Caenorhabditis elegans: one gene and its partners. The protein of the gene in region 1 purifies or fractionates together with the protein of each later gene. This does not show direct contact. Each region holds a gene or a part of one and is shown on either strand. Other genes may lie near its edges.

Evidence for each region.
Region 2: the proteins of met-2 (region 1) and lin-65 purify together in Caenorhabditis elegans (affinity purification with mass spectrometry; one study listed by BioGRID). This does not show direct contact.
Region 3: the proteins of met-2 (region 1) and rme-2 purify together in Caenorhabditis elegans (affinity purification with mass spectrometry, with the first as the bait; one study listed by BioGRID). This does not show direct contact.

What each region holds. Positions count from the first base shown.
Region 1 is NC_003281.10:8,373,522-8,381,422, reverse strand, and holds met-2 (Histone-lysine N-methyltransferase met-2), read right to left. Parts: upstream 6,124-7,901; coding exon 6,028-6,123; intron 5,959-6,027; coding exon 5,671-5,958; intron 5,624-5,670; coding exon 4,959-5,623; intron 4,891-4,958; coding exon 4,394-4,890; intron 3,891-4,393; coding exon 3,277-3,890; intron 2,977-3,276; coding exon 2,108-2,976; intron 2,057-2,107; coding exon 1,921-2,056; intron 1,873-1,920; coding exon 1,346-1,872; intron 1,014-1,345; coding exon 791-1,013; 3' UTR 560-790; downstream 1-559. Other genes in the region: R05D3.12 (Putative DNA topoisomerase 2, mitochondrial), read right to left, coding at 43-295, 343-466; lmbr-1 (LIMR family protein R05D3.2), read right to left, coding at 6,648-6,735, 6,783-7,156, 7,208-7,586, 7,640-7,901. UniProt on the Caenorhabditis elegans protein: Histone methyltransferase which is required for the mono- and dimethylation of 'Lys-9' of histone H3. This increases the efficiency of set-25-mediated trimethylation of histone H3 'Lys-9'.
Region 2 is NC_003279.8:1,753,260-1,758,372, reverse strand, and holds the start of lin-65 (uncharacterized protein), read right to left. Parts: upstream 3,045-5,113; 5' UTR 3,044-3,044; coding exon 2,911-3,043; intron 1-2,910. Other genes in the region: Y71G12B.10 (hydroxymethylglutaryl-CoA lyase), read right to left, coding at 4,058-4,374.
Region 3 is NC_003282.8:5,467,993-5,473,737, reverse strand, and holds rme-2 (EGF-like domain-containing protein), read right to left. Parts: upstream 3,712-5,745; 5' UTR 3,710-3,711; coding exon 3,653-3,709; intron 3,605-3,652; coding exon 3,053-3,604; intron 3,006-3,052; coding exon 2,156-3,005; intron 2,111-2,155; coding exon 1,920-2,110; intron 1,871-1,919; coding exon 1,662-1,870; intron 1,618-1,661; coding exon 816-1,617; intron 767-815; coding exon 650-766; 3' UTR 564-649; downstream 1-563.

The DNA of each region.
Region 1 (7,901 bases):
CGTAGCTTTGTCGCAGAACATAAATTCCTGCAATATATTTACCTATCTAACCATACTTCCAACCGATTCATACTGGAATCTCTTGCTTTATTATCAGCCGCATTCACTAGAATCTCATCGAAAATCTTCAATAATCCAGGTGGATAAGTGACTTCTTTTGCAATCATTTTTCTATTTTCTGAGTCTCTGAGCCAAATAATTTGATCTTCTCGCATGGCGACACCTCCAATATATGTATCGGGTCGAAGTAATACATGTTCAGTTGGACTTTTCTTTTCATATTTTGCTGCAGCCTCTTCAAAAAGAAATATTTTAGCTAAAGTTTTGAAATTCGATTATTACCAGAAGCAAAACTAGTAGAAGGAATATTATTACAAAATGAACGAGTATTTTTTAAAACTACAGTAGTCCTATGTGACGTGGAAATGCAGAACTTCAAGTGACGTAGAACCCGTAATCGATGCATAACTTATGAAACCTAAATATATATATTCTATATTTTAAAATTGTAAACTGAAATAGATTGGAGACATCAAAACTGTACTGACTATTAAAAAATATAATGTCTTTTTTAAAACATTTTATTCGCAGAGAAAATCAAAATGAAAACCAAAGAAACTATTTGGCAAACCCTTACGAGGTAAATACGTGTTTAGATCATACATATGAGATGCTGTTTTCAAAGGGAGATTTTAAACGATTGAACAATAAACAAAATAAAAATTAAATAAATAAATAAATACTTAAAAAAAAAGGAAAACATAACTGGGAAGGAAATAACAACAATTCTTTAACTTTTCAGCAAACGGCCGGTGCAGTTTTCAGCTCCGCAGTGGCATGTGAGTTGTGTGGTAGCCGTCTGATCTTGAGTATATTGATAGTCCCAGGTTAGCTCATCGCCGGCTTTCACGTATTTTCGTGTGAAAAACGCGACCCATGGAAGACGAAGATCATGCGTATCGTACATGACGTGTTGAACGTGCACATTCGGATCGCAAGAGTGATTCAAGAATCTGAAAGTTATCGAAAATTTATGATTGTATCTTTGGAGTGCCGGTTTTTCAAATTTTCTCAATTGTATTATAGTCTCCAAAACATACCAAATGACTTTTTACGAATTTTAGTTTTTTTAAGATGGAGTAGAACCGTTTTGAAATTTGTTTCCTTTTTTTGCTTTTTTCTTCACTTTTCAACGTGAAATACTGTTTGTTAATTTTTCAGAATTTTTTCCATAGAGAAAGGTTGATAAACCAAAAGAAGAGGCAAACGGTTGGTTTGTCCATTTTTTATCATTTAAAGCAAAATCTCTAAAAAATTTTTTTAATGAATAAAATTGTGATCTTACCTTCCAAGATTTCCTCTCTGTTTTGCATCTATAACATACAATGGAAACGGCTCAAAATACTTATCCCAATTGAAAACGGGTTCGTCTTTACTTTCAATATTATCCTTTTCCATTGAATCTCTTGGAGTGGTGTCATCTTTCTCCACACTTCCTCCTTTACCGGATTTTTTAGATTGCTTTCTTTTCTGTCTTGTCAGCCGTTTTGTTTCTTCACCACTCTCCGAAGAGTCTTGACGTTTCACCATTTTGTTCATTACATCATCACCGGAGTCACCATCACTTCCTTCTTCGTCATCATAATCTGACTCGTCTCCTCCGTAACCAAAATCAGTTTCATGATCTTCGCGACCCTTTTCCAGCTCCACGGTATCCTTCAAGTCCAAATCAGCGAAGTATTGATCCGCATTTCTTAGTTCATCAGCCAAATCATCCGTCAGTATAGCACCTACATACGTGCAAATGAACGTACTTTGAGGAATATCCGTCAAAGCTCGGACTCCCCATCCGGATTGAGCAGTTTTGAAGATCTGAAGAAAAAACAATAATTGGTATGTATCATCGTTAAATAAACTCACATGCATAGGATACTTGATATTGTTCTGAACAACTCTGTTGTAACAAGACTTTCGATGGCATGAACACTGATCGTTGCATTCATAGAGTCCACTGATAACCTTACTGCTGAGAAGACGATTTTGATAGTGAGGAACTCTGAAAAAAAATAGTTTTAAAAATTTATTTTGTTTTTCTGAACTCTCATACAATTCGTCGTGTCCGTCGAATTGTAAATTATGGGGGAGTCGTTTCATTGCTTCAATGGACAATTGTTGGCATTCACACTTCGATGCGTCACTGCAATCACCATCACAAGAGCATCCAGAACAGAAATCTCGGCTAACACTCGATATATCCACTTGATCATTGTATTGGAATCGTCGTTTCGAATATTCCAATGATGGAGGCTCATCGTTATCCACGCTGTTCACTAGTGGAATTGGGATTCCTTCGGTTCCAAGCGAAAAATCAGCAACCTTCAAATATTTATCGTCAACAGTAATATAAGTGGCAGTATCGATTCGTGCATCAAATGAAAAACAATCAATCGTCAATAAACTTCTGGTGACATGAATATATTCAGAGACGTCGCTGATCTGGTGAAGAGCGGCTCCGCATGGAGAAAAGTAAATAATGTTTTTCTTCACTGCTCCCCGCTTCTTTCCAGTACTCATTGTGTACATAATTCGTCTCCAACCACACAAAAGAGGAGTATGTATTGGTGAATTTCGATGGAATCTTGCTTCATACGGATCCGCATCCATTTTCTGTAGACAATCTGGACCACATTGAGCATGAGCCTTGAGATTTTCCAATGGTGTTAGGACGGGTATTGGAACAATAATCTTGTTAAATAAGAATTGATTTTTCTTTCTTATTTCAATTTCTCTCTTCGATTTTGCATCATTTGTCGAAGCGACATTCTGATTGGTGCCCGTCGTTTTCTTTTTAACGACTTGTTGGTGATTCCTCTCTGGCATCGAACGAATCATGTCGGTTGGCTCGAACTGTGATTGAAGCTGGTCTTTTCTGCGTTGCGACAGATTGTTATTTGTCGAGATCATGTGCTTCTTGTGCTGAAATAATACAAAATTTTCATGATTTCTTTCTCCTTTTTTCATATTTTCGGAACCTTTTTTTTGAAAACGTTGAAAAGTTTGTGTCCATTTTATAGAAAAAACTTTGAAGATGAAACTTGGATATTATTAAAAGCAAAAATTGATTTCACAGCTTTTTTTTGGAAGTTTCCCTTTTCGATTTCTCTAACAAAACATCCAAAAAACCTTGATTATCAATTATAAGAAATCAAATCAAATAAAAATAAAATAATTTTAGAAAATCCTCGTTTTGTATCAATTTTTCAAATAAAATCTTACCGCTGCGCCTTCCAATCTATGAGATCCTCTATAGATTTTCTCGTCAATATGCTGATGATTTCTATCATTGCACGGAAAGTCTGTACATCTATTCCCAGGAGCCAATGGATTCGGTGCTTCGTGTCTCACAATAGCAAAAGCTCGATCAGTTCCAATCACTGTCACCATTTTCTTACGTCGATCAACAAGAGAATTGTACAAACAGATTCGCATTCCAACTGGCATCTTGAGAAGTGGCCATTCCGGAAATTCTTTCATAAAATCCCGAATATACGCTGATCTGTGAGATTGTCGAATCCAATGAAATGTCAAAAAATAATCCAGATTTCCTTCCTTTCCTACTGGCTGTCCAACCATAATAGCAATCTGAGCAGCATTCATCTTCGCAATCATTTCTTTGAGAGAAAATACACTTTTCTTTTCAGAAGCAACTTCATAACCTGGTTCACCAGGCATTGTCGGAGCTGACACGTATGCATCGGTTCCGTTGTCGAAGAAAATTAGAAAATCGGATCTATGAGCTCTGCGACGTCCGGCAGCTGTACCGGTAAGCCAAATTGTTTTTTTTCCAAATTGGCTCGAGGAAATAACTTGGCGACAGGCAACTCGAAGACCTGAAAACAATGATTTTAGATACTTCGATCATGAAACTGATATCTAGGCCAGGTTGAGTTTTTGGATTTTTTTGTTGTTTAATGGATTCTGACAAACATCTGCTTTTTTGGGACCACAAAAAACAACTGCTACACTTGAAACGTTTTTTTGTGTACATAATATATTTTACAAGTTTTTCATGAAATATTTGGATTTGAATTTGTTTCAAACTTTTTCAAATTTAGTGTTTAGCACCATTTTTTTCTAGATCAACCGAAAATCCAATCATGGAAAATTTTAAATGGTTTTTCGTTGAAAAATATACGGGACGAAAATTCTAGATTATCAAAATTTTGTCAATTTTGAGAAGAGAAAAACGGACTTGATAGTGAATCAAATTTTGATTTTTTTAAATTTAACACAAAAACTAAAATTTTCGATTTTCTAATAAAATCGAAAAACCGAAACCCTTATTCTACATAACAGATGTAATATTAAATATCAATTTTAACTTAAAACTCACCAACATCACCAAATGTATTCAAACTCGGGTCATACATTCCCTGCGTAGTCATGGCTAAATCTCTGATGTTACACTCTCTGATCTGACTTGTGTCGATAAATTTAACCTTATAGGTCATTGCATCCACACGATCCTGAACTATGGCGTATGTTAATTCTGCATCGTCAGAAGGATTGGCGCGAGCCAGACAGAAATCTCCAACTGTCAAAACGAAGAATTTTTCGAAGTCAGTCTTGGTGTCGTAAACTTTCTGAGCTTCGGCGATGGCGAGCTTCATCTCGGCTTTTAATGTCTCCATTATTGCACGAGAGTTGATAATTTCGGTTCGTTGATCGGATGTAAAACTCTCATTCACAGCAGCCTCAGTGCCATCAAAATCGGGAATTTTCTCGTTGACAAGTTGAATTATTTCATTACGGCTGCCAACGGCGTTCTCAAAATGTTGTTTGAATTCTGCTGATGTTGACTCGATTTCGTGGAAGAAGTCGTTGAGCTCTCTAAAAGGTATTTAAGTGATAATTATGAAAATACTTTCAAAACAGTTGTGAGTTTGATTAATACTCGCCTGCCAATTTTATCCTGCGCACCGTTTTCCTTCTGATCATCCCAGTATTTGACTGCCGTATCAATGATATTATTAGAAAATTCCACTTGATCGAAATTCAAGAGTAAATCATCAGTCGGATTTGAATCAAAATCTAATCGACACGGATGCCCTTCTTCGCGTAATCGAATCAGAGTGAGCATGAGAATTGCTGATGCAGGTGATGTGACAGTAAACTGCATGAATCTCAACGGTCCATTTTTCGAATTCAATCCAGTATTTGGATAATCAAGAAAAGTGACACATTTTTCTATACTCCAATCGTCGATACGATCATCACATAGAACATTAAAGTCGACATCTTCTTCGTTGTTGGTATCGAGAACGCCAATACAAATAGCAGCGACTAGCACGTCTTCATCAATTAATTCGTATTTCTGTGAAAGTCCCTCAAGTGATTCACTTTCCTTGAACGATTTGACAATTTCCTTGCATTTATCGACATTTACAACCGGTGAATCGCTGATAGATTCTGTCAGATAGTTCGGATTTGTGAATTCGAAATTTTTAAATTGTTCTGGAAGGAGCCTTGTGAACCACGATAAAAATTCGTTGATTTTCAGTCTTCGAACTGCTTGTTTTTCTTCATCAGTTTTGACTATCGAATCTTCTATAATAAGATCTTCCTGAAAATAAAATAATTTTATTATTGTTTCCTTTATTGCAATCTAACCGCCTCTTCCTGTTGCTTGAGTTCAGCTTCATCTTTGGCAGTCTTCTCCGCATCAACCCGTCTTTGTGCTGCAACAGCTTCTTGTTCACTCTCATTTCCGAAGAACGAATTAAGAGCTTGAGCTACTTGCTCAGATGGCGCATCAAGGAGCGCTTGGACATCTGAATTAGCGTTAAGAATCCCTTCAACTAAATCAGAATCTTCATCTGTTCCTTCTTCTGCTTTTCCATTATCCAGAATCTCCTGTATTTCTGTTTCATCGTAGTCGTCCACTGTTAGGTCAATTGTCTGAAAATCGATAAATTGAATTATATGACAATGAATCTCCGAAGCGAAATTTTAAATAATTTCACTCACAGCAGTGACGAATGAACTTTGTTCCTGTGTTTCCATCCCATCATCCGAAAGAATACTGCTCGTATCTACGTTATTCGATGGTTCTTGTTGGTCCATCTGAATATTAGATAAAAATTAATTGAGGCAATGCCCTGAAGAGTTGCAGATACATATTTCGGATTTTTTCAAACCTGAAGAAATAATTTTTACCTATACGGACAGTATTGATAATTAAAAGAAAAAATTAAAATGGTTTGTATTTCAGTTATTCTACATGAAAAGAGAAGGCGATAAAGAAAATCAGAGGGAAAATATGGTACATATACAAAAGCCCTGGTTTTTTTTGGCTTCAAATAGTTTGAAAAATGTTCCACGTTTTGATTGAAAGTAAAGCTAAACGGTTTCGACGACGAGAAAATTGCTGACTGAGGGGAAATACTAGGGAACATAATATATTAGGAGAATGCTTGAGAGAAAATGATGAAAAACAGACATGTAAAGCTAGAGGTTGGCAAAAATTGATGATTCTGAATTATTAGAAAAGGCGAGTAGTACCCGAGAAAAAAAATAGGACCTTGTTTTTGTAATGAAAAGATTAAAATGATGAACATGGGTAAGAAGTGTTGAAAAAGGAAAGAAATTCAATTGCTTTTCTTATCGCCTCTAAGGATCTCAATGGTTTCATCCGCATCACTCTCCCGTCTGATTCCACATCGTAGTTGACATATCCTGCAAAAAAATTAATAAGAATTTAAACTTTAAATTGCACAGCTTACCACTTCCAGATTTGCCTTCTCATTGAAGCAGTCAATTGATTGAAGAGAAATGCGACAGACAACACGACGAATAGAGTATTATAGGCAACAACGACTCGAAATGATCCAAGCCATTGGAGCGATGAGTGGGAGCCGAGAAGATCAAAAGTTGTCATTCCAACTGTGTTAACAGCTACTGGGAGAGCGGATGCAACAACAAGAACTATTGAAGAATTAATAATTATCGTTGGCATTGGAGTATCTTTTCGAACAGGTCGAAGAGAACGAAGAACCGGAAGGGAGTACAGCCCAACGAAAGATGTGATCATCACGTAAATAATGAGAAGAGTTTCGATGCAAGCCCCAAAAAGTCCGAATGAATGACGAGTGTGTACCTGAAAAATTATGTACTTTTAGAAATTATATTTAAAATCTCCGAAGCTTACCTCAATGTATTGAGCATAGACAGGTAAACTGCGATACCCGAATAACAATTTCAAGGTATTTGTAGCCACCATGATTAGAGAGCATGTCGTCAAAACTAACAAAGCAGCGGCCGCTACTGGGAATCGAAGACTCATGAAAAGTTTCACAAGTCGCCCCTGCTTCTCAATTGCTCTTTTGTATAATTTCGAGGATTTTACTGTGTGAAGAACTGGCTTCCAGATGGCTTCCTCGGATTTGGTGCGACGAGCAGGTGATAATGGTGTTGATGATGCCTCAGACGAAGATGCTTCATGGAAATCTCCAGAAGCAAAAGGATCCACAAGAAGTGATGAGGATGGATTGAGGCCAGTTTCGGAATTGTGTTTCCAGCGAGAAAATCTTAAATCAACATTGTTAAATAAAACTGTTTAAAACATACAAAAATTAAATACCTTGAAGAATAATAATTTGCCGAAAATGAGCTCCTTGGAGGTGACCCAAACCAATAATCGTCAGATTCAGAAAGGGATGACCTCTGCCGGCGAGCCTCTTTGACATACTCTTTCAGATTCCTATAGTCGAAATTTGGATTCTTTGGCTTTTTTGGAACATCTTTATCCCATTTTCGAACTATAGGTGTTGTCGCAGCATAATCATGTTTCCTCCTCTTCTTTTTATTTTTGGTGGGTGTTGAGTTTCCTAAATCTCCATCAT
Region 2 (5,113 bases), on another chromosome or scaffold:
GAAACCTGTTTGGTGGCCTAGAAACCTTTTTGGTGGCATTGAAACCTGTTTGGTGGCCTAGAAACCTTTTTGGTGGTCTAGAAACATTTTTGGTGGCCTAGAAACCTTTTTGGTGGCATTGAAACCTGTTTGGTGGCCTAGAAACATTTTTGGTGGCATTGAAACCTGTTTGGTGGCCTAGAAACCTTTTTGGTGGCCTAGAAACATTTTTGGTGGCCTAGAAACATTTTTGGTGGCCTAGAAACCTTTTTGGTGGCCTAGAAACATTTTTGGTGGCATTGAAACCTTTTTGGTGGCCTAGAAAAATTTTTTGGGGGCCTAGAAACATTTTTGGTGGCCTAGAAACATTTTTGGTGGCATTGAAACCTGTTTGGTGGCCTAGAAACCTTTTTGGTGGCCTAGAAACATTTTTGGTGGCCTAGAAACCTTTTTGGTGGTCTAGAAACATTTTTGGTGGCCTAGAAACCTTTTTGGTGGTCTAGAAACATTTTTGGTGGCCTAGAAACCTTTTTGGTGGCCTAGAAAAATTTTTTGGGGGCATTGAAACCTGTTTGGTGGCCTAGAAACATTTTTGGTGGCATTGAAACCTGTTTGGTGGCCTAGAAACCTTTTTGGTGGCCTAGAAACATTTTTGGTGGCCTAGAAACATTTTTGGTGGCCTAGAAACCTTTTTGGTGGCCTAGAAACATTTTTGGTGGCATTGAAACCTGTTTGGTGGCCTAGAAACCTTTTTGGTGGCATTGAAACCTGTTTGGTGGCCTAGAAACCTTTTTGGTGGTCTAGAAACCTTTTTGGTGGCATTGAAACCTGTTTGGTGGCCTAGAAACCTTTTTGGTGGCATTGAAACCTGTTTGGTGGCCTAGAAACATTTTTGGTGGCATTGAAACCTTTTTGGTGGCCTTGAAACCTTTTTGGTGGCCTAGAAACCTTTTTGGTGGCCTAGAAACATTTTTGGTGGCCTAGAAACATTTTTGGTGGCCTAGAAACCTTTTTGGTGGCCTAGAAACATTTTTGGTGGCATTGAAACCTGGTTGGTGGCCTAGAAACCTTTTTGGTGGCATTGAAACCTGTTTGGTGGCCTAGAAACCTTTTTGGTGGCCTAGAAACATTTTTGGTGGCCTAGAAACCTTTTTGGTGGCCTAGAAACATTTTTGGTGGCCTAGAAACCTTTTTGGTGGTCTAGAAACATTTTTGGTGGCCTAGAAACCTTTTTGGTGGTCTAGAAACATTTTTGATGGCCTAGAAACCTTTTTGGTGGCCTAGAAAAATTTTTTGGGGGCATTGAAACCTGTTTGGTGGCCTAGAAACATTTTTGGTGGCATTGAAACCTGTTTGGTGGCCTAGAAACCTTTTTGGTGGCCTAGAAACATTTTTGGTGGCCTAGAAACATTTTTGGTGGCCTAGAAACCTTTTTGGTGGCCTAGAAACATTTTTGGTGGCATTGAAACCTGTTTGGTGGCCTAGAAACCTTTTTGGTGGCATTGAAACCTGTTTGGTGGCCTAGAAACCTTTTTGGTGGTCTAGAAACATTTTTGGTGGCCTAGAAACCTTTTTGGTGGCATTGAAACCTGTTTGGTGGCCTAGAAACATTTTTGGTGGCATTGAAACCTTTTTGGTGGCCTTGAAACCTTTTTGGTGGCCTAGAAACCTTTTTGGTGGCCTAGAAACATTTTTGGTGGCCTAGAAACATTTTTGGTGGCCTAGAAACCTTTTTGGTGGCCTAGAAACATTTTTGGTGGCATTGAAACCTGGTTGGTGGCCTAGAAACCTTTTTGGTGGCATTGAAACCTGTTTGGTGGCCTAGAAACCTTTTTGGTGGCCTAGAAACATTTTTGGTGGCCTAGAAACCTTTTTGGTGGCCTAGAAAAATTTTTTGGGGGCCTAGAAACATTTTTGGTGGCCTAGAAACATTTTTGGTGGCATTGAAACCTGTTTGGTGGCCTAGAAACATTTTTGGTGGCATTGAAACCTGTTTGGTGGCCTAGAAACCTTTTTGGTGGCCTAGAAACATTTTTGGTGGCCTAGAAACATTTTTGGTGGCCTAGAAACCTTTTTGGTGGCCTAGAAACATTTTTGGTGGCATTGAAACCTGTTTGGTGGCCTAGAAACATTTTTGGTGGCATTGAAACCTGTTTGGTGGCCTAGAAACATTTTTGGTGGCATTGAAACCTGTTTGGTGGCCTAGAAACCTTTTTGGTGGCCTAGAAACATTTTTGGTGGCCTAGAAACCTTTTTGGTGGCCTAGAAACCTTTTTGGTGGCATTGAAACCTGTTTGGTGGCCTAGAAACATTTTTGGTGGCATTGAAACCTGTTTGGTGGCCTAGAAACCTTTTTGGTGGCCTAGAAACATTTTTGGTGGCCTAGAAACATTTTTGGTGGCCTAGAAACCTTTTTGGTGGCCTAGAAACATTTTTGGTGGCATTGAAACCTGGTTGGTGGCCTAGAAACCTTTTTGGTGGCATTGAAACCTGTTTGGTGGCCTAGAAACCTTTTTGGTGGCCTAGAAACATTTTTGGTGGCCTAGAAACCTTTTTGGTGGCCTAGAAAAATTTTTTGGGGGCCTAGAAACATTTTTGGTGGCCTAGAAACATTTTTGGTGGCATTGAAACCTGTTTGGTGGCCTAGAAACATTTTTGGTGGCCTAGAAACATTTTTGGTGGCCTAGAAACATTTTTGGTGGCCTAGAAACATTTTTGGTGGCCTAGAAACATTTTTGGTGGCCTAGAAATCTTTTTGGTGGCCTAGAAACCTTTTTGGTGGTTTTTTTTTTCACAGGTTTCGGAGGCATTTTTCGACATTTTTGGCCATTTTCTCAGCTAGAAATTCCAATTTTCGAGTTTTAAGGTAATTTTTAGCGAAAATTGCAAATTTTTAGTGCAAAATTCAAGGTTTTACTCAAAAAATCTCACCTTTCTGCTCAGTTATCTCCATAATTTCTCCATCTTCACCCAAAAGCTCAGCAATCTGATCATCATTTAATGGAGGTATTGGATCATCTGAAGCTTCTGTATTTAAGATACTTTCGTCGATTACTTCTGACATTCTGTAAAATTTTGAATAATTTAGAATTTTAGATGGGAAAAAATGGCAAAAAAAAAAGGATTTAAAAAGTCAGAAATTCAAAAAAAATTATTTAAAAAGTTAGAAATAGCCGATTTTTCAGGAAATATTCGAAAAATTCAGGAAAAAACTTTGAAATCAGGGGAAAATCTCGAAAAAAATCAAAAACAAATCTGAAATTTTTGGGGAAAACAGTTTTTTTTTACGAAAAAATTCAAAAATTTTGTGCAAATTTCGAGAAAATCCAGAGAAAAATGTGGTTTCTTGATTTTTTTCAAACAATTTTTCGAAAATCTCCAAAAAATCGTGAAAAACTCGAGGAATTGAAGGGAAAACTAGCAACAAAAAATCACAAAAATTGAGAAAAAAATATAGAAATCAGCTGAGAACTGGGGAAAACTCGGGAAAAATCTAAATTTTTGGGGGAAAATCAGAAAATTTTGGGGAATAACTTGCTTTTTTCGAGAAAAATTTCAAAATTTCGTACAAAATCCCAGAAAATTCAGAAAAAAAAATGCGGTTTTTTGATTTTTTTTCAAATAATTTTCCGAAAATTTCCAAAAAATCGTAAAAAAATCGAGAGTAGAATTCGGCTGAAAACCGGCAAAACTCGGAAAAAATCGGAAAATTTTGGGGAAAAAACCAAAAAAATCGGTAAAAACCTGCTTTTTTTTGAGAAATAATTCAAAAATTTGTACAAAATCCCAGAAAAATTCTGAGAAAAATGCGGTTTTTGAATTTTTTTTTTTGCAAACAATTCAATTTTCCGAAAATTTTCAAAAAATCGTGAAAAAATCGAGAAATTGAGGGGAAAACTAGCGAAAAAAAATCACAAAAAATGAGAAAAAAAAGATAGAAATCGGCTGAAAACCGGCAAAACTCAAGAAAATAAAAATCTGAAAAAAGTCTCTAATCTCTTTATTATTTCCTAAACAACCGGGGTAATTTTTACACGAATTTTTAAAAATTTTTTTAAATTTTTTACAGCACACATTTTCAGCAGCAGCTTTTGCTCTTTTTAGCCATCATTGCAGCTCCAACTCTCGACCATTTATCATATCCGGCGGCTTCATTAAACCATTTTGCAGTTTCGACAACTTTGTCCAAATTGACACCAGTTTCAAAACCGTTTCCTTTCAAAAAATACAATAAATCTTCAGTTGCAAGATTTCCAGTTGCTCCTTTCGCATATGGGCAACCACCGAGCCCTGCGATACTTGAATCCGCACTTCGGATGCCTTTTTCGATGGAAATGAGCACATTTGCGAGAGCTTGACCGTATGTGTCGTGGAAATGAACTGCGAGTTTTTCGGCTGAAATGGTGGTGATTTTTTGAAATTTTTTTTTCTTTCGAAAATAATTTTTTTTCACAGTTTTCCCGACTTTTTTCGCCTGAAAATCAATCGATTTTTCATTGAAATAACTCAAAAAACGATAAAAATCTCAATTTTCGCTGCGAGACCCACAATCTGTGGGGAAATTGACCGAATATCATGATAAAAAAATTCAAAAAATTTTTTCTAGATTTTATAAGATTTTTTTTTGATAATTGAAAAAATCTCAGTTTTCCCCTAATTCCTATTTGAATTACCGCCAATCGGATTTGACCGATGGAGCGCGCTTGCATTATTGGAATTAATTAATTTTATTTATTCTCATTATTCGACTGAATTTCTTCATTTCTTCTGTTTTTTTTTGTTGGAAAATGAAAGAAATAAAAAAGACATATGCAAAATGTTTGTTAAAAAGTAACTGAAAATGCCTAAAACTGTATTTTTTTTGAATTCTGACGACGGCAAGCCTGAAATTAGTATATTTTACAGTTTTATAAATAAAAATATATTTTGTAAAACTGTGAAATATACTAATTTCAGGTTTGTCGTCGTCAGAATTCAAAAAAAATTACAGTTTAAGGCATTTTCAGTTATTTTTTAACAAAAATTTTGCATCTGTCTTTTTTATTTCTTTCATTTTCCAACAAAAAAAAAACAGAAAAGAAGAAAATCAGTCGAATAATGAGAATAAATAAAATTAATTGATTAAAATAATGCA
Region 3 (5,745 bases), on another chromosome or scaffold:
GAAATTTTGCGCAAGAATACGGTGTCCGGTCTCGACACGCTTTTTTGGTAACTACAAAATGGTTGCCGAGTACTGTAATTTCAAACTTTGACTGCTGCGGAATTTTAATCGATTCTTTATATTTAGTTTTTCGATAAGATTTTTTAATATTTAAAAAAATTAAAACAATAAAAAGAAATAAATTTTAACAAACCATGAGAAACACTATGAAAAATCGACGAAAAATCTGCAACGGAAGTTTGAAGTTACAGTAGTTCTCAAAGGCGCACACCGTCTGTTTCCAATTAAAAAAAATTATCGTGCCAAGACCTAGCGCCGTATTATTTATGCAAAAATCACAAAGTTCCGAATCTGAACCACGAATGTAGAAATACCCATCTTTCAATGGTTAAAAATAATTTCCGCTTATTTAATAATCACTTCCAAATGATTTTGTTGTTCTTTCTTGACGCCGTCTATCCGTGTTCTAAACAGTGATGTAACAAGTTTCTAATAAAACTATTAGAAATAGAAATGTGTTTCACATCTCGATTGTCATTTAAAGAGTATAAAACAACAGTACTAGTAGACATTATCAACTTTCATGCAATAAATAGGCAAAAATAGATATACTTTACAGACATCTGATTTAGTAATTTTGTAGTAGAATTCACAACAAGCTGTCGTTCTCAAATCGAATGACTCCAGCGAATGGTGCGGAAGCCGATCTGACGAAACCAGTTGACGATTCAGGAACTTCATCGTACATGGGGTTTCCGTATGACGTCTGAAATTAATCAATTTTTATATAAAAAATATCTAAAAAAAGATCTCACCGGCGAAGAGTCCATCCGAATTCTTTTCTCAGCATTTGTCTCGTAGGAAACGAAGTCAACGTTTGTTGCCGTTTGACAACCTTCTCTAGGAGGCGTGCTCCTCTGCTTATCAGTGACCTTGCGGAACTTCTCGACAATTGGAGCTGCAGCATCTTCCGCTTTTCTAGCCATGTTATCAACACGGACACGGGCAGTGGAAATCACATCTTTCATATGCTCTTGTTGAGAAAACCAAAGGAAGGCAATAATTCCGACTACCGCAACGATGATGAGAAAAATGAGAAGCAGAACGATAAGCCATAAGGACGAATCTTCCTCTTCCATTGCGGAGAACTTCTCTGGATTGAGCCGTTCGCAGTATTGCCCGTCATATGGACCCTCACAATCACAAACGATGCGATGAGCTCTTCCGTGCTCATTTTGTAGTTCACGGCAGGCTCCTCCATTCATACACGCGACACCAGCTTCGCAGTATTCGGCCATCAAAGCAGATCCAATGTGGGAAAGCTTCTCAAGGTTCTCCTCGTCCTCAATCGTCACAGGCGGGATGCAAGAGTTTTCAGTGACGGAATGAGTGTATCCGTCTGGGCAGACACACTTGGCAGTCATAATGAAATCGCTCTTTGGCACAATAACGCAGAGCCATGGGCACTCGAGTTCAAGGCATGGGTTTGATGGAGGACCAGTCTGGTAGAGTGAGTGATTGACAGCAATACCATATGGATAACGATTGAAAGTATGGATGACTTGAGGACTCGAATGATGATGGGTCATCTCTTGAACCTTTAATGACTCGCTTCCCCTGAAAAATAAATTTGAAAATATAAATTAGATAAGATGTCTTACCAATCTGCCCAGTATAGGAAACCATTGAAGTAAGCCATGTCATACGGATGATGAACTCCGTTCGAAATCACTACGCGGCGCTCTTTCGTGTCGATATTGACTCTTTCGATCAACTGACGTTCAACATCTCCAAAATAGACATCGTGGCGGATGTAGTCGATGGCAAGAGCTGATGGAACTTCCAACTTGTTGTCGAGAAGGATTCTGACCTGAAATTTATTTAGAAATGAACTAAATCAGATCGACTCGACGACTCACCTGAGACCCATCCATATTAGCCATCATGATGCGATGATATTTCTGATAAGAATCGATCCAGATGATGAGACCGCGCATCGGGTGAACAACAAGACCACGATAGGATTGTCCTTGTTCTTTGCCTTCGATAACTCGGCGACAGAACATTCCGCTCATTGTGCAGATGGAAATCCCAGCGCTTGGAGATGGAGCTGTAAGAATCACAAATGAAAAATTTAAACATTAGATAAACATACATTTTTGTGTGAAGAAAACGTTTCCACCAATCCAGTCGACTGCCACGTTGCTCACTCCAATGACATTTTCTCGAAGAACTCTCATCAATCCATTGTCGGACACTGACAATTCGCCAGTTGGATCACCGTGCTCATCAGAAATTGACATGAACATTTTGTTGTTGCGATGCATGAAGTCGATCGATCTGATGGTTCCGTGGCCAGCAAACTTTTGAATCGGCGAGTAATTTGAACCATCGGTGAAATCTGCCAATGGCATCTGTCGAACTTCTCCACCAAGACTGATGAACAAATATCCTTCTGGCGTAGTGGTTGTCTCGTATTTACAAGAATGCCCATCCGTTTCAAGCTCATAACCGTTGGCACATTTGCATGCAAAGGAACCCAAACGATCTTCACAGAAATGCTGGCACAAGTGCCCATGAGTTGCACACTCATCTTCATCCTCGCAAGTGAGTCCGTCATCGGCAAGCTTATATCCTTCTTGACAAATGCAGCGAGCCCCGTGTGGAGTGTTCATACATGTGTGGTCACATCGCTTTCTGGCACATTCGGAGCAATGTTTTGACTCGTCATCTCCTAGTGGACACTCCTTGATCCCATTACACGTGGCATTCATCGGAATACAAACGCCAATTTCGGATCCTTTTGTTCCACAAGAATACATTCCTGCTGCTGAGCACGAATGCATGTGATCGGCTTGCCCAGAAAGATATTCTTCTTCGCTTGGAGCATTAGTTTGGCAGTTTTTCTCGTCCGAAGCATCATCACAATCTAGATCGCCGTCACAAAGAAAACTGTCAGGTATGCAGACGTCTCCGCTATGGCACATTGTGTATCCACTCCGACACTGAAAAATAAAAGTTAAAACGGTATTAATAAACATTAAACAATTACCTTATTGTCTTCATTAGCGAAAAAGGTTGGATCGACAAGATGAACATCATCGTGAAAATCAGTCGAGGACTGCATATTTTCATGTCCCCTTCTGGTGCAGTTGACCTCATCATCTCCTCCAGAACAATCCGTATGTCCATCACAAACGAGATCTGGTTGAATACATTGTCCTGATCGGCATCGTAAACGAGGAGGATGGCATTCTGGGCCATTGTGACCAACGAAAGTGGTAGGAGCCGAAGGATTGGAACCATCGAAGCGAGACTTCAGGATATTGTACTCGCAATGCTGCTCATCGCTTCCATCGCGGCAGTCGTCTTCGCCGTCGCATTTGAACTCATTTGCGACACACAGTCCATTCTTGCATAACATGAAGCTTGTCGAACAATGATGCGCATATGAGCAGCCCGATTCGTCTCTTCCGTTGTCGCAGTCCGCTACGTTGTCGCATTGCCACTCCGCGGGAATGCATCGGAGTCTCCCGTTCCCGCAATCAAATTCCTTTGCTTGATCGCATGTCGAGTTGTTGACAGCCGGAGCTTGAGCTGTGTTCTGAAACATGAAAATACATTGAAAAAACTAGAAAAACGGGGAAATTACCTTGATTAGTATGTGAATAAAAAGTGGGAGCAACCAAGCAAGGCGCATGGTTCTCATGGTGAGTGAGATTATGAAAAGAATGAAAGAATGGCATCGTTTTTAGGCAAAAATTCGCGCCTTAAAATGAAAATTCAATTTCTCCCGCCGGGACAGAAATGCATTTTGATTAAAGGAACATCATGGGACGCGCGCGCCTGGTCCCACCACGAAAATAATTTTAGTGTTTTCAGAAAAGGCTTGATGGAAATTTTTGGTTTAAATTAACCATTTATGTTTTCCAATAAATCTTTTAAAGATTTGAGTGTATAAATCAAACATTTTAACACAATATTGAACAAATTAATTCGAAATCTTCAAGTACAGACATACGTAAAATTAGTGCGACAGTAGTAGAATCGTTGTGCAATTTGTTTTTAAATGTACATTTAATACATAAAAATTGTTCATCTAAAACTTTGATGTATCTGCCATTCATTGTTACCATGAATTATTGTTCGGCTTTTCAGAATTTTTTTCAGGCAGAAAGTGTAGCATCTGAAATAAAATCTTGCAAATGATTTAGGATTGCGTTGTTGGTGTTTAAAGTTGTGGAAACTCTTGCTTAATTCTGGTTGAAAACGATGCGATAGATAATATATTCAGTTTATTACAGTTGTTTCTCGCGTGGGAAGTTTTGTAGAATTATAGAACATTGGAATCTTTTCGAGGAAAAACAGGTGGATGAAACGGTAAATGGGTTAATCTGTGAATATTTTAACAAAATACACGATGGAAACGGTAGAGGTGCGGGCAATTTAAAAATTGAATTGCTCATCTTCAGAAAAATACAAATTACGGGCAACTCAAAAATGGAAACCTCAAAGGAAATGAGCATTTCAAAATCAGACATACATTTTTCACTTTGTTGCTCGCATTTCCTTTTTAAAATAAGTAAAATTCTCAAAAGTAAGCCCTGAACATACACTTTATCGATAAAAGCAAAACAAAATCAAGTTCAGTTCCAATTCGATATGGTTGTATTGGTGGTAGAAGTGCTGGCGTGTCAATTTCCAGAACGAGCCGCTTTGACCGATTCGATTGGGTTGATTCGCTGAAAACTTTCAATTAGCTGTACCCCGGCCAGGAATATCTCACCGAGTAGATGTATGTAGCTTCCGGTGTATCAAACGACACCTTCTTGTCGGAAAACTCATCATCCACTTTTCCGTCACTCAGCGCTCGAGCACTCTCATGGACAAGCAACAGACTCCTAATCGTGTTGGAGAACACCAGCCTGGTCTCAAAGTGAACTTCATCTCTCTTCTTCAACTCCACCAACGGTTGTAGCTCGTTGAGCACAAGCTTCGTGGGGGAATGCTTTTCAGACTGAGCTTCTTGTTACGGTACATCTCCGAATGATCAGTATTCACCGTGATCGCCTCGTCGGTCTCTTTCTGCAAATAAATTTTTACTTGAACTTTCAAAAAAAAAGTTCACTCACCATGTCCTCGTCAGTCGGTTCTATATTTACTGCCCAGGTGGGGACGTCCTGACCCTTGTACACATCTTGCTCTGGCTCCTTCTTAATGTCCTCCAATTTTCGAACGTGATCATAAGAATCCTCAACGGGAAGTAAAGAGGTCTCAACTTTCTTCTTCGGATTGTTGGTTTTGTAGAAAGTGGATGGCTCGTCGCATAACATCATACCATCGGGCTTATGCTTCAATCGATATGGTTTTTTCGGCACTCGATCCAACAGAAGCTTGCTCTTCGCATCGATTGGCTTCGCTTTTGCCGTCGACTTCTTCTTTTCCCTCAACTTCTTATAGACTCGCTCCGTCGTCTTATCATCCACCTCGTGATTCGTGACCTCGATGTTTTTCGGCTCGTTGAGCCGTGTGGTTCCGGGAACTGAAACGGGAAATTTTGTAGGTATTAGGACTTAGGATTTTCAGGTAGGTACGAAGATGTCTGGCATTTTAGTGACTAACTGAAGGTATATGAACAGGCAAGCATGATTTTTTTGTTGGAATTTTCACGTGGAAACATTTTAGAATTTAATTTTTATATTTCTCTAAATAGTTTTGCTTTCACGTGGATTTCAATGTTTGCAG